Linked DNA regions of Schizosaccharomyces pombe. The gene in region 2 interacts genetically with the main gene of each other region. Each region holds a gene or a part of one and is shown on either strand. Other genes may lie near its edges. The genes, in order: isp4 and ptr2.

What was found.
Region 1: mutations in ptr2 (region 2) and isp4 impair growth when combined (synthetic growth defect), as found in Schizosaccharomyces pombe (one study listed by BioGRID).

The regions. Positions count from the first base shown.
Region 1 is NC_003423.3:1,549,793-1,554,872, forward strand, and holds isp4 (plasma membrane OPT oligopeptide transmembrane transporter family Isp4), read right to left. Parts: upstream 3,000-5,080; coding exon 642-2,999; 3' UTR 501-641; downstream 1-500.
Region 2 is NC_003423.3:3,404,908-3,410,169, forward strand, and holds ptr2 (PTR family peptide transporter), read right to left. Parts: upstream 3,453-5,262; 5' UTR 2,786-3,452; coding exon 929-2,785; 3' UTR 668-928; downstream 1-667. Other genes in the region: bbl1 (phosphatidate cytidylyltransferase), read left to right, coding at 1-243. UniProt on the Schizosaccharomyces pombe protein: Uptake of small peptides.

The DNA.
Region 1 (5,080 bases), 1.9 Mb from region 2:
TTAGTAAGAATCAGCAGTGTTTTTAATAACAACTGATTACTGTTTTCCTTTAATGTAAGAAATCAACAAGTCTTAGTGTATTGTGGGAGTATTAATATCGTGAACAGTATATAAATCAAGTTAATGAATAGGTTTGTCATCGGTCATTTACATATCTATTATCATACGAACATGCATTCATAAGATGAAATCAAGTTAAAATTTGCACCTTCACAATATTTACTTTACTTAGTGAGTGTTTGTCGCTACATTGAGGATGTATACAAAAAGTGAAAATGAAATTACTGATGTTCACATTACAAAACGTATATAAAAATGCAAACGTTTGTTTCAATTTAGAACGAACTATTCAATTCTAACAACAATTAATAAAAAATAACAAATTAGAAAGCTTAATAAACATGAGATAAACTTGTTGAACGATTGATTAAACACAAATCTAATCATGCAACGTAAAAAAAAATAGACAACAATCAATCATCCAAAAATATATATTGCATAGATGTTGAATATTCAAACACTAAAAGAAAGTGTAGACATAATTAATTCACGAAGCTTTAGTATACAAATCAATGCTTATAATTTTTATCATTTGTTAAAAGATGGAAAAAAAAAACAAAGAAAAAAATACAGCATTGATTTTACCATTCGGCGGGACCAAAGAATTCACCTGCTGACTCATTGACGAGTTTCCTAACAGCGGCACCTGTAGCATCCAGCGTATTAAAGGCACCATCATTACCCCACCAATCTGGGAAATTAACCATAGGCAACTGTAAGCAAAAGAAAAGTATAATGACCGACAACTGCGTACCAGTATCAAGAGCAGCAGAAAGCGTGAAATTGTATTTCTGCCACCAGTCTGCGAATATCTTCTTCAGATAATAATTGAAGAACAGACCAATTCCAGACCAAGCCAGATAGTTTACAGGAGTAGCTGGGGGAATATAACCAGTACCTCCAAAAATTAGCGGGCCATTCAATTGACCCCACCATTTTTGAGGCCATTTCTTCCATAGAGCCCAGAACAAAATTGTACCCAGCACGCCAGCGAGCCAGAAGTACTGCAATCCCGTATAGGTGTTTTTTCCAGAAAACATTCTCTTGGGACCAATTACACCCCAAATAACGGAAGAATTAAAAAAGACAGTTGCATTAGGACAAGTGTAATTATCAGGTTGATCGGCCTGGCAAACATTATCAATATTACCCAAAGCCCAATCCAATACGCCGATCTGAACAAAGCAAGACCATATGGTGGCAATCATTTGGGTGTAAAACATGATTCTGGGAGGAAGCTTCATGTAATGACCAAACTTCAGATCGGCAGCGAAAGCCAATCCCTGAGTCATTGTAATATAACCGACAGTCTTGAAAATCATCATGGCCAAAGGACGACCAGGATACATATAACCAACGATAAACTCGGTGAATACATTCAAGCCTAGCTGGATGTTGGTTATAGCTTGAACGATGCCAATTGGAATGAACCATACAGCAGAGAAAATGACACCGACAATGATAACCCACCAAGGGGTTTCCGTTTTCCAACCATAAATAGTACCCATCATCATGCCGAAAAAGGCCAAGAAAACACTCAAATACCAATAGAAGGGAACTTCATCATAGGCTTTCATGAGTTTTTCATGGATATCAGGTGCGGGTGGATCGCGTAACCTGTCGTAGATCTCTTTTCCATGGTATAGGATCACGTGGAAAATGACAGAAGTGATGGAAGCGAAGGAAAGGCCAAATGCCAAAGCGTAGGTGGTGGACATGAAAATGGGAGAATAGTTTTGATAGGCATCCAAATCAAACGTAGCATCCTTGGTGAGGATGCGAGTAACGTTATAGCTATTACCAAAGTGATCGATAATACCAGAACTACTGATCGGTAGGTAATCACCATACCACGTGTTGGTAAAGTTAAGGGCTGGAGTGACGATCCAAAAGAATAGAATGACGCCCAAAAGAATGTTCATCAAAGCATCGGCAGGAGCCATGAGGGGGGAAAGAATGTATGCGGAAATTTGATTCCAATCAAAAGTCATGGGAAGGATGGAGATTCCGGTGGATTCACCAAAGATTTGATTTACAGTTGGACTATTAGGACGAATCCAAGTGACCCAAGCAAATAGGGAAAGGGCTTGGAAAATGTAGGAAGGGAACCAATTCCAAATGAATGAAGCAATAAAAACGTACAAAAAGAAACGGAAGGGGGAAATTCTCCAGCCATTGGCAACGGCGTTTCGTAAGTCTTTGCGATGTAAAGTCTTGATCAAGGTGCATTGAACGAGATTCACAGGCCACAACATACTAGCAGGACGGACCAAAAGTCTTCTGGATAAACCAGCCAATCCGTATCCGATAAGTTGAGTGGCCAAAGTCAAACAGATTTCGTAGCCAAAGCCGAAGCGCTGTTTGTAGTGTACACGTTGGGCGAGGATGATATCGGTGGAGTAGGCATTACCAAACGATACACTCGACATAACGACGATGAGAGCATGTTCTTTAACGTTAAAGGGACCAGGCTTAAAATTAAACTTTAAACGTCCAATGCGAAATTCGCGATCGGGGAAAATCAAGTCCCAAATCTGTAATGCTGGGTATGCGAGAAGCTCGGAAATCAAAACACTCAAAGTGACGGTTGGGTTTCGAAGGGAAAAGAACATGTTGACGGCGGCACCAACGGTGGAATAGATGAGACCAATGGTCCACATGCGAATGGTGTTGCATGGCATACTTGGATCATCGGTAGGAGGGACGGCGGCACGAACCTCTGGATAAGGAGAGTCTTCCTCAAACTCGTCAACCGTACTAATTTCACCATGTTCGACATCGAGAAAGGACTTTGTGTCTTTCTTGATGTCTTTGGATAAACTGTCATCGGAATGGCTAACGATGTAATCAGAGATGTCGACGGAGTCGGCCTTTTCCTTTGTAGAGGGGGAGTCATTCATATGCTCCTCGATGGGAGACTCATTGATGGAACCGATCATTATGGGAAGAAGGGAGGAGAATCAAGAGAGAGAGAGAGAGAGAGAGAGAAAAAAAAAAAGTCAAACTTGATTCACCAAAAAAATAAAAAGAAACAAACCAAAAATGGTTGAGAGAGAGAAATACTAGAAAAAGTTTTTGCTTAGTTTTCGAAAGAGAGGAAACAAGATTTTCCAAATAGAATTGACGAGAGACGAAACGAAAATGATGTATTTATGAAACGAAACGAAACGAACAGTGCGATACGATAAAGAAATCACAAAAAAATCACTACGAAACTTCACGGTGATTGAAGAAACGAGCAATGGATGGGATTTGGAAAAAGAGCAAAGTGTTTAATACTTCTTCATCAATAAAATTCGTGAAGGAAGAAAAACACCTTTATGTTTTTATGGAATCAACGTCCACGTATGTAGAGATAAAAATGTATACAAGATGGTTTTTATAGACTGTACAAAAATAGTATAGTCTAGAATAGAATAGTATAGTATAGTATAGTAAAGTAGAGTAGAGTATAGTCTAGTACAGCAACAATAACAATTTAGTTTTTGTTTTTTCTTTAACTTTCCTTTTCTTTTTATGTTACAATGGTTTCCAAACTTTTAGTATCTTGGAGCGGGCGGGGGGATTTAGCTGCCGAAAAACGTGCAAACAATAATCGATGTTAATTTGTTCAACTTTTATTTTGAGTTGACACATGGAGGGATTTTCACCTCTATATATAAAAGGGAAAAAAGGTGCGGCATTTGATTTTTTCCACTCGTAATCAATTCATTGCTCTTTCTTCCTTCCATGATAACCAACCCTTTCGCTCATTGTGTGTGAAATATGAATCAGAGATAAAGTCCTTATTACATAAATGGGATGCAGGAGATGACCAGTCAGTTCTATTCTATCTTGATAAAAGTCGTACTGTTGTCATGAAGGGGTCAGGGGCGGCAAAGCTTGACGATGGAGAGAGAGGAAGAAAGCACAATCGACAAAGTAGAACTGATAAGCAAAGCAAAGCAGAATTGACAAAGCAAAACGGAATTGAAAAAAGCACAGATGATGAGGATTCAAAGGGATGTAAAGCTGAAGAAAAGAAAAGAAAAAAAAAAGAAAAGGAAAAAAAAGAGGATTTGTTTATATTTTCATAATTTTGATTCAATTGATGTGTGTGTGTTTGTATGTAAGTGTAAGTGTAAGTGTATGTATTGTTGTTTTTATTTATATATATTTTTTTATATTTCAATTCATCCCTTTTCTCTTCCTCTCTCTCTCTCTCTCTCTTTCCCATTTTCTCACTCTTTTTCGCTGTCTGGGTTTGCCTGTCTCGATTGCTAAACGGTAACGCGGGATTCTTATCGTTGTACCACCAATGTCAAGCGAAACTGTGGCACATGCGAAAAATTCCATCGGCCAACTCTCTTGAAGTAGCACTCTCGTCAATTCCTTCAACAAATTTCTTCGATAAGGAAAAACGCTATTACACACGTGCAAACACTAACAAACGAATGTTTGTGATGTATGTGCAAAGGGCTTTCTGTTGCCAGCACGACTATCGTAATAAAAAAGGAAATTTTTTTTTCCTTTTTTTTTTTTTTCTTTTTTGTTGTTGTTCTTTCTTGACTAGGAAAGATAGGCGTGCATCAGGTTTAGTATGGAGACGGGAGGTTGACAGCCGACGTTGGGGAAGACAAAACAAAATGAGATGAAACGAAATGAGATGCGATAAACGTAAAAATGGGTAAAGGGCAAGGAGAAGGTCGGGGAGAATGGGAATGGGAGTTGGAATGGGAATGAGAATGAGAACGAACAAAGACAAAGACAGACAAAAATAGTAAAGTTGAATGAAAATAAAATTTGCTAGAATTGCATGGAGTAAAGAGACAATTGTAAAACACAGTGAATGCAGTAGAATAAAATATAATGTGTAGTAGAATACAAATGTTCATGCAGTACGATTTAAATGTTCATGCAATAAAATTTAAACGTCTTTGTCTTTCAGCTTCACGAGTTAACTTTTCATCGGTTAGCGAATGTTTGATTTTGTTTCTTCCTAATGATTATTCCTACGTTTCGATGACTTTGTTTTCTCTCT
Region 2 (5,262 bases):
CATGGTGGTTTAACTGACAGAATGGATTGCCAGTTTTTAAATGGAGTCTTCGTTTATATGTATTTCCAATCATTTATTGCAGAAAAGAGTACATCTGTTGCTGATTTATTGGATACAGCAGTTTATAGCCTCACGACCACTCAGCAAGTGCAACTTGTTGAAGATTTACAAAACTATCTCATCAGTCATGGCAAAACTAGTGTTCAAGCTATTTGTTCCAAACTTCTTCAAAACTCAAAATAGCTTACACTTTGTTATCCTCGTATTTGTTTACTAGCCAGTCTTTTATATTATTAAATGCGTTGTCATGTATAGTTTGACTTCCGTTTGTTAGTCATTCGTTATTGCTTGGAAGTTTTGATATCCCATGTCTAATTTTTAGTCAACTCCAAACTAGATCTAGTCGTTCGTTTGCTTTATATAATTTTCAGTTTTTCACCTTAAAAATTTTGTTTGACATTTTCCGAATTAGTTTTCATCAAAAACTTTTGTCATCAGGTTGGTTAAGTGAGCTAGCTTAATTCGCAAACGCTTAGAAAAGTTGATTATTGGACTAATCTCACGTCGGTTCTACTAAAAAACAGTTTCTTGTCTCAACACATACAGTTTTGTTTACCGCTAAAGAATTTCTTATTTTCAACATATTTGATACTTTCTTTAATATTTTAAATTATGCACAGCAATATATATTTTCATTAAATCACACTGTAGTAAATTCTGGTATATAGACCCACTGTAAAACTCTATTTTCTGAGAGTGGATAAGTACTACTGCATTTAAATAAGGAGCATCAGTAGAACAACGGCATCATAACAAAAAAAAAGATGGAAACAAAACATGCAAACCCCAATTTTTTGGGAAATTTTGTAAAAAAAAAAAGAAAAGAAAAATTGGCATCCCGCAAATACGAATTAAGTTAAATTAAGTATTATGTGCTTTTCATGATTTCCTCTTCAGCAGTTGCTTTTTCCAAATTGTATTGGGACTCATCTGCCATGCTATAACTATCATGAACTTCCTTTTCAACGTCCTTCTTCGTTAACGCATCATTACGCTTGAACTCAAGTTGATTTTGTTCATCTTCCATAGCATCATAGTGGTGGAAGCAAACCCAAAACATAATACCAGCAATAAAGGCAGTGACGGCAATACCAGTGTACATCCAAGTAAGCTTAGGATTGACAGCAGTAGAAGAAATGCAAATAGATAGAATGGCACCGAATGCATTGGTGAACAAGAACAAAGCAGTAATAATGGATTTCATTGAAGGAGGGGCCTTGGTAAATGCAAATTCTAAACCAGTAATACTGGCAAAAATTTCAGAGAAAGCAATCAAAACGTAAGCAGGGATTTGGATCCAAACACTGATGTCATTGGAAACACATGTATCAGTAAAATTTGCATAGCAAGGGCCTCTTTGATAAATCTTTGCTTGTAAAACAGCAGCGTAAATCATGGAAGCAGTAGCAAACATAAACCCTAAAGTAATACGAAGGATGGGTTTGAAAGGGATGTTATACTTACGCAATAATGGATAGATGATATTGTCACAAATGGGAATGAAAATAATCAAGGCGATTGAATCGAAGGCTTGGAAAAGATCGTTAGAGACATTACCCGTTTGCATTTGTCCAGCTTGAGAAATTAAGTTGTTGGTCATTTGACCATAGCATACCCAATAGATAGGGTAAAAGAGAAAAGTTTTGCAGGCGCGTAAGGCACGTTTCAATTCGTCGATAAACAAGTCATCCCACTGATCCTTGAGCGTAACGCGTCCAACAGTAGTAGTGCAAGATGGTTTAGTTTTTTCGAGATTAAATTTGTTTTGAGCAGCAAGGAAGAACACTTGACCAACACGAACAAAGATGGAACCGGAGGGAGGAGTGTGCTTGTAAAAGCGCTTACTAACAGCCAAAATAATTAAGGGGATAACAAAGACGCACAAGGGAAGCAAGTATGCGTAAACAAAACCTTTAGTACTTTCCAAACTAGTGGTGGCTAATACGGAGAGAGAACCGACGTTAATTGACCAGTAGAAAATCATATAGGCACGAGAGGTGGTGACGACGGGGTCAACAATGACCTTGCTACCATTTTTCTTGGTCTTTACATAAGGAGGAATTTTTGGAAGCTGTTCAGCCATCAAGGGGGAAACATTGGATTTGATACCACCGGTTCCAAGACCAATGATGATCAAAGAGACGACAAACCCACCCATACTTTTTCCGGCATCAATGACAGAAGGAATAGCAGTACATGTAAGAATCAAGATACCAATAAAGTAAATGACAGCAGAGCAAACAATGGTATTGTACCTACCAAGGAATTGATCAGCAATAAGTGCAGCGCCAACCGGGGTGACATAACACCAAAATGTGAAGAAATTAGAAAGACCGTCAGCACCGCTTTCGCCTAAATTAAGGGCACCTGGAGTAGCATCCTTAGGACCGAATTGCATATAATTTTGAAAGGGAACAGTGAGACCATAGTAAGCGAAACGTTCGCAAAGCTCGACAATAATGATAATAAAGGCTTTCCAAGGAATAGTACCGCAAACACGAGGAAGGGTGGCTAATTCTTCTTCGGTAGGAGAAGGGTATAAGTCACCATTGACGAGGACGCCGGTGGACATGGATTTTTGGAGTTCATCGGTGGAGGATTGTTCGTCAGCGGTGTTGATGGTGGCAGAACCATCAGCCTTTTTCTCCTTGCTTAAGTAGGATTGATCTTCTGAAATGATGAAATCGGAGTCCGATTTCGTAATTTGTTCTTCAATGCTACTCATTGTAAACACAGGTAAATTGAATGTAGGAAATCGATCGTATGAAAATCAAAAATAATAATAAAAAAGAGAATGAACAGAAGTTTCAAGAACAATTTTTGGGTATAAAATAATTACAATGAAACGAGAAAACAAAAGAGGCGAATATTAAAAAAAAAAAAAGAGGAAGAGAAAAATAACGTAAACAAGCGAAAGATTAAAAAACAATTGTAGTACAAAAGATAAAAAAAAGAATAGATCAAAAATAATAATAATAATAATTAGTCAAACTAATTACACAAAATTGACAAGTGAATTCACAAAAAAGTTAAAATAAACACTTTTATATGTGTATCGAAGGCCGACTAACTCAACTAAGAGTAAGAAATATGAAAGTGAGTGAGAGTGAGAAAGGGTATTTAAAACAAGATTAAATATACACAACAACAAATAAGTATTTATGACAATAATAATAAAAAAAGAAAAATTTTTAGAATGAAAAAATTTTTCCTTAATGTATTAAATAAATACTTGGAAATTAAAAGTGTATGTATGTGAAAGTGTGGAGAAAGTCACAACTCCAAACAAAAGAGGTCAAACGATTAATTATACGAACGATGAGGAGTTTCCACTCAAGGTTTTTGAATTTCTCTTACTTCTAAAACACAGACTAGACGGCACGACGAAGGATGTCTTTTGAGGGGATAATTTTCAAGTATAAATACTGCTGAAAATGAAATTTGTCCACACTGATTTAGCAGTCACCACGTGTTCATGCACGCCTTTATCAATGACGGTGAGCAAAGCACGATAGGCGATAGACAAATCGTAAATGTAGGAAACGTGGTATGAAAAAGTTTATTATCTTCCCTACAGATAAATCAAAAAAGAGGGAGGACCGGTCTAGACTGCACATTTTTAATAATTAAGGTCAATGCGTGAAAGGTGGGTTTGATGGTTGATTGGATAAATCAAATGTTATTTCGGACAAAAACGTTAGTGCGGAATATCTATTTGATTAAAAATGCACGAGGAGTAACCATATCGCACAACGTGTGACCTGTTGGAAAAAGGGGTGAAAATTGGTAAATCCGCTGGAAATAGATAAGCTTGGATTTCTTCGTGTGATGCCGTTTTTTTCATCTACTCCACTATCATGCGGAAGGATTGCGCACTTGTTCAGTTGCGTGTTTTTGCTTAACGATAGAAAAAACTCGTGTACCTCCATTTAGGACTTTTGTGCCACCACATCGCATGGTTGAAGTGGAAAGTCGTACTTGACCGAAAAAGTGGGGATGAAATTGGGTACCAAGTGGGGTGCATGGAATTAAATGGTCAAGAGCACAACGTGCAGAGCATATGGAAAAAACGAGTAGCACGTTATAGTGCCAAAAATAGAAGTTTCACTACAGGAGTGAGAATGAGAGTGAGGAGAGGTATAGAAAGAATGTGAGACAATATAGTTAGTATATGTGAAAGTGAGAGTAAAAGGTATAAGTGTTACTATATGAGTATGGATGAGGATGAGGGAAAAGGTAGAAAAGAGATGACTGTCTATGTATTGTCATACATATTGTTATTTACAAACACATCCTCTACGTTTCTTATTCTCTCACGACGACATACAGGTGAACGAAGTTTTTCAATAATTTTAGAGGTTTGAGGGTTGAGTTGTATTCATTGCTTACTTGTAGTTTGCTCATTAATAATAATTACATATTTGTTAGATTCTTAATACTTTGCATATTTATTAAATTTATGTAATCGTTTGATGAGTGTTACATTGTTGTTTTTATTTATTTATTTAACCGTTGAATTCATTCCTTCTTCTCGACATCGGCCTTTACACCACGTTCGCGTGTCTCTTCTCTCTTGTTTCCTTCCCCGGGTATTCCGCGATTAGCGCTGGCGATTCACCAAGGTAAAACTATGTATGCGAATGGTGAGTGGTCTGCTGTAGCACGGTGTGTGCACGAGGAAACAAGGTCTTCTCTTTAAGAACCTCGAACCCGGTAAACATCGTGGGTGGCAGAGATAGTAAAAGCGACTAGTTCGCCTACCCCCACATGAATTGTCGCAAAGATGATGAGGGACGACAACAAGTAGGTAAGGTAAAGTAAAGTAAGAAAGGAAGAATAGTGATAGCATTAATAGTAGTGGGTATAACTGTCACGGAAATGAACATATCACACTCCAAAACGGACTTGTTGGTGTATGAGCAATTTTTCGCACCCATTTTCCCTCATTTTGCCAAATGAAACCATAATGCTGCAAGATTGCTGAAAGTATCGGGAAAGCCTAGTAAGAAATGGTCCAACTCGTTATGCAGCGATACCCTACCCTCCGTCAAGCAAACGAGATGGTTGTGTAAGGCGAGGCACAAGACTTCAAAAAGTATGCAAATTAGCAACAGATAGTATACCCTAAATTCCAAACGATATCTTCTATCACAGAATCAGATTTCTTATAGTAAGTTCATGATAACTTTGAAGAAACTTGAG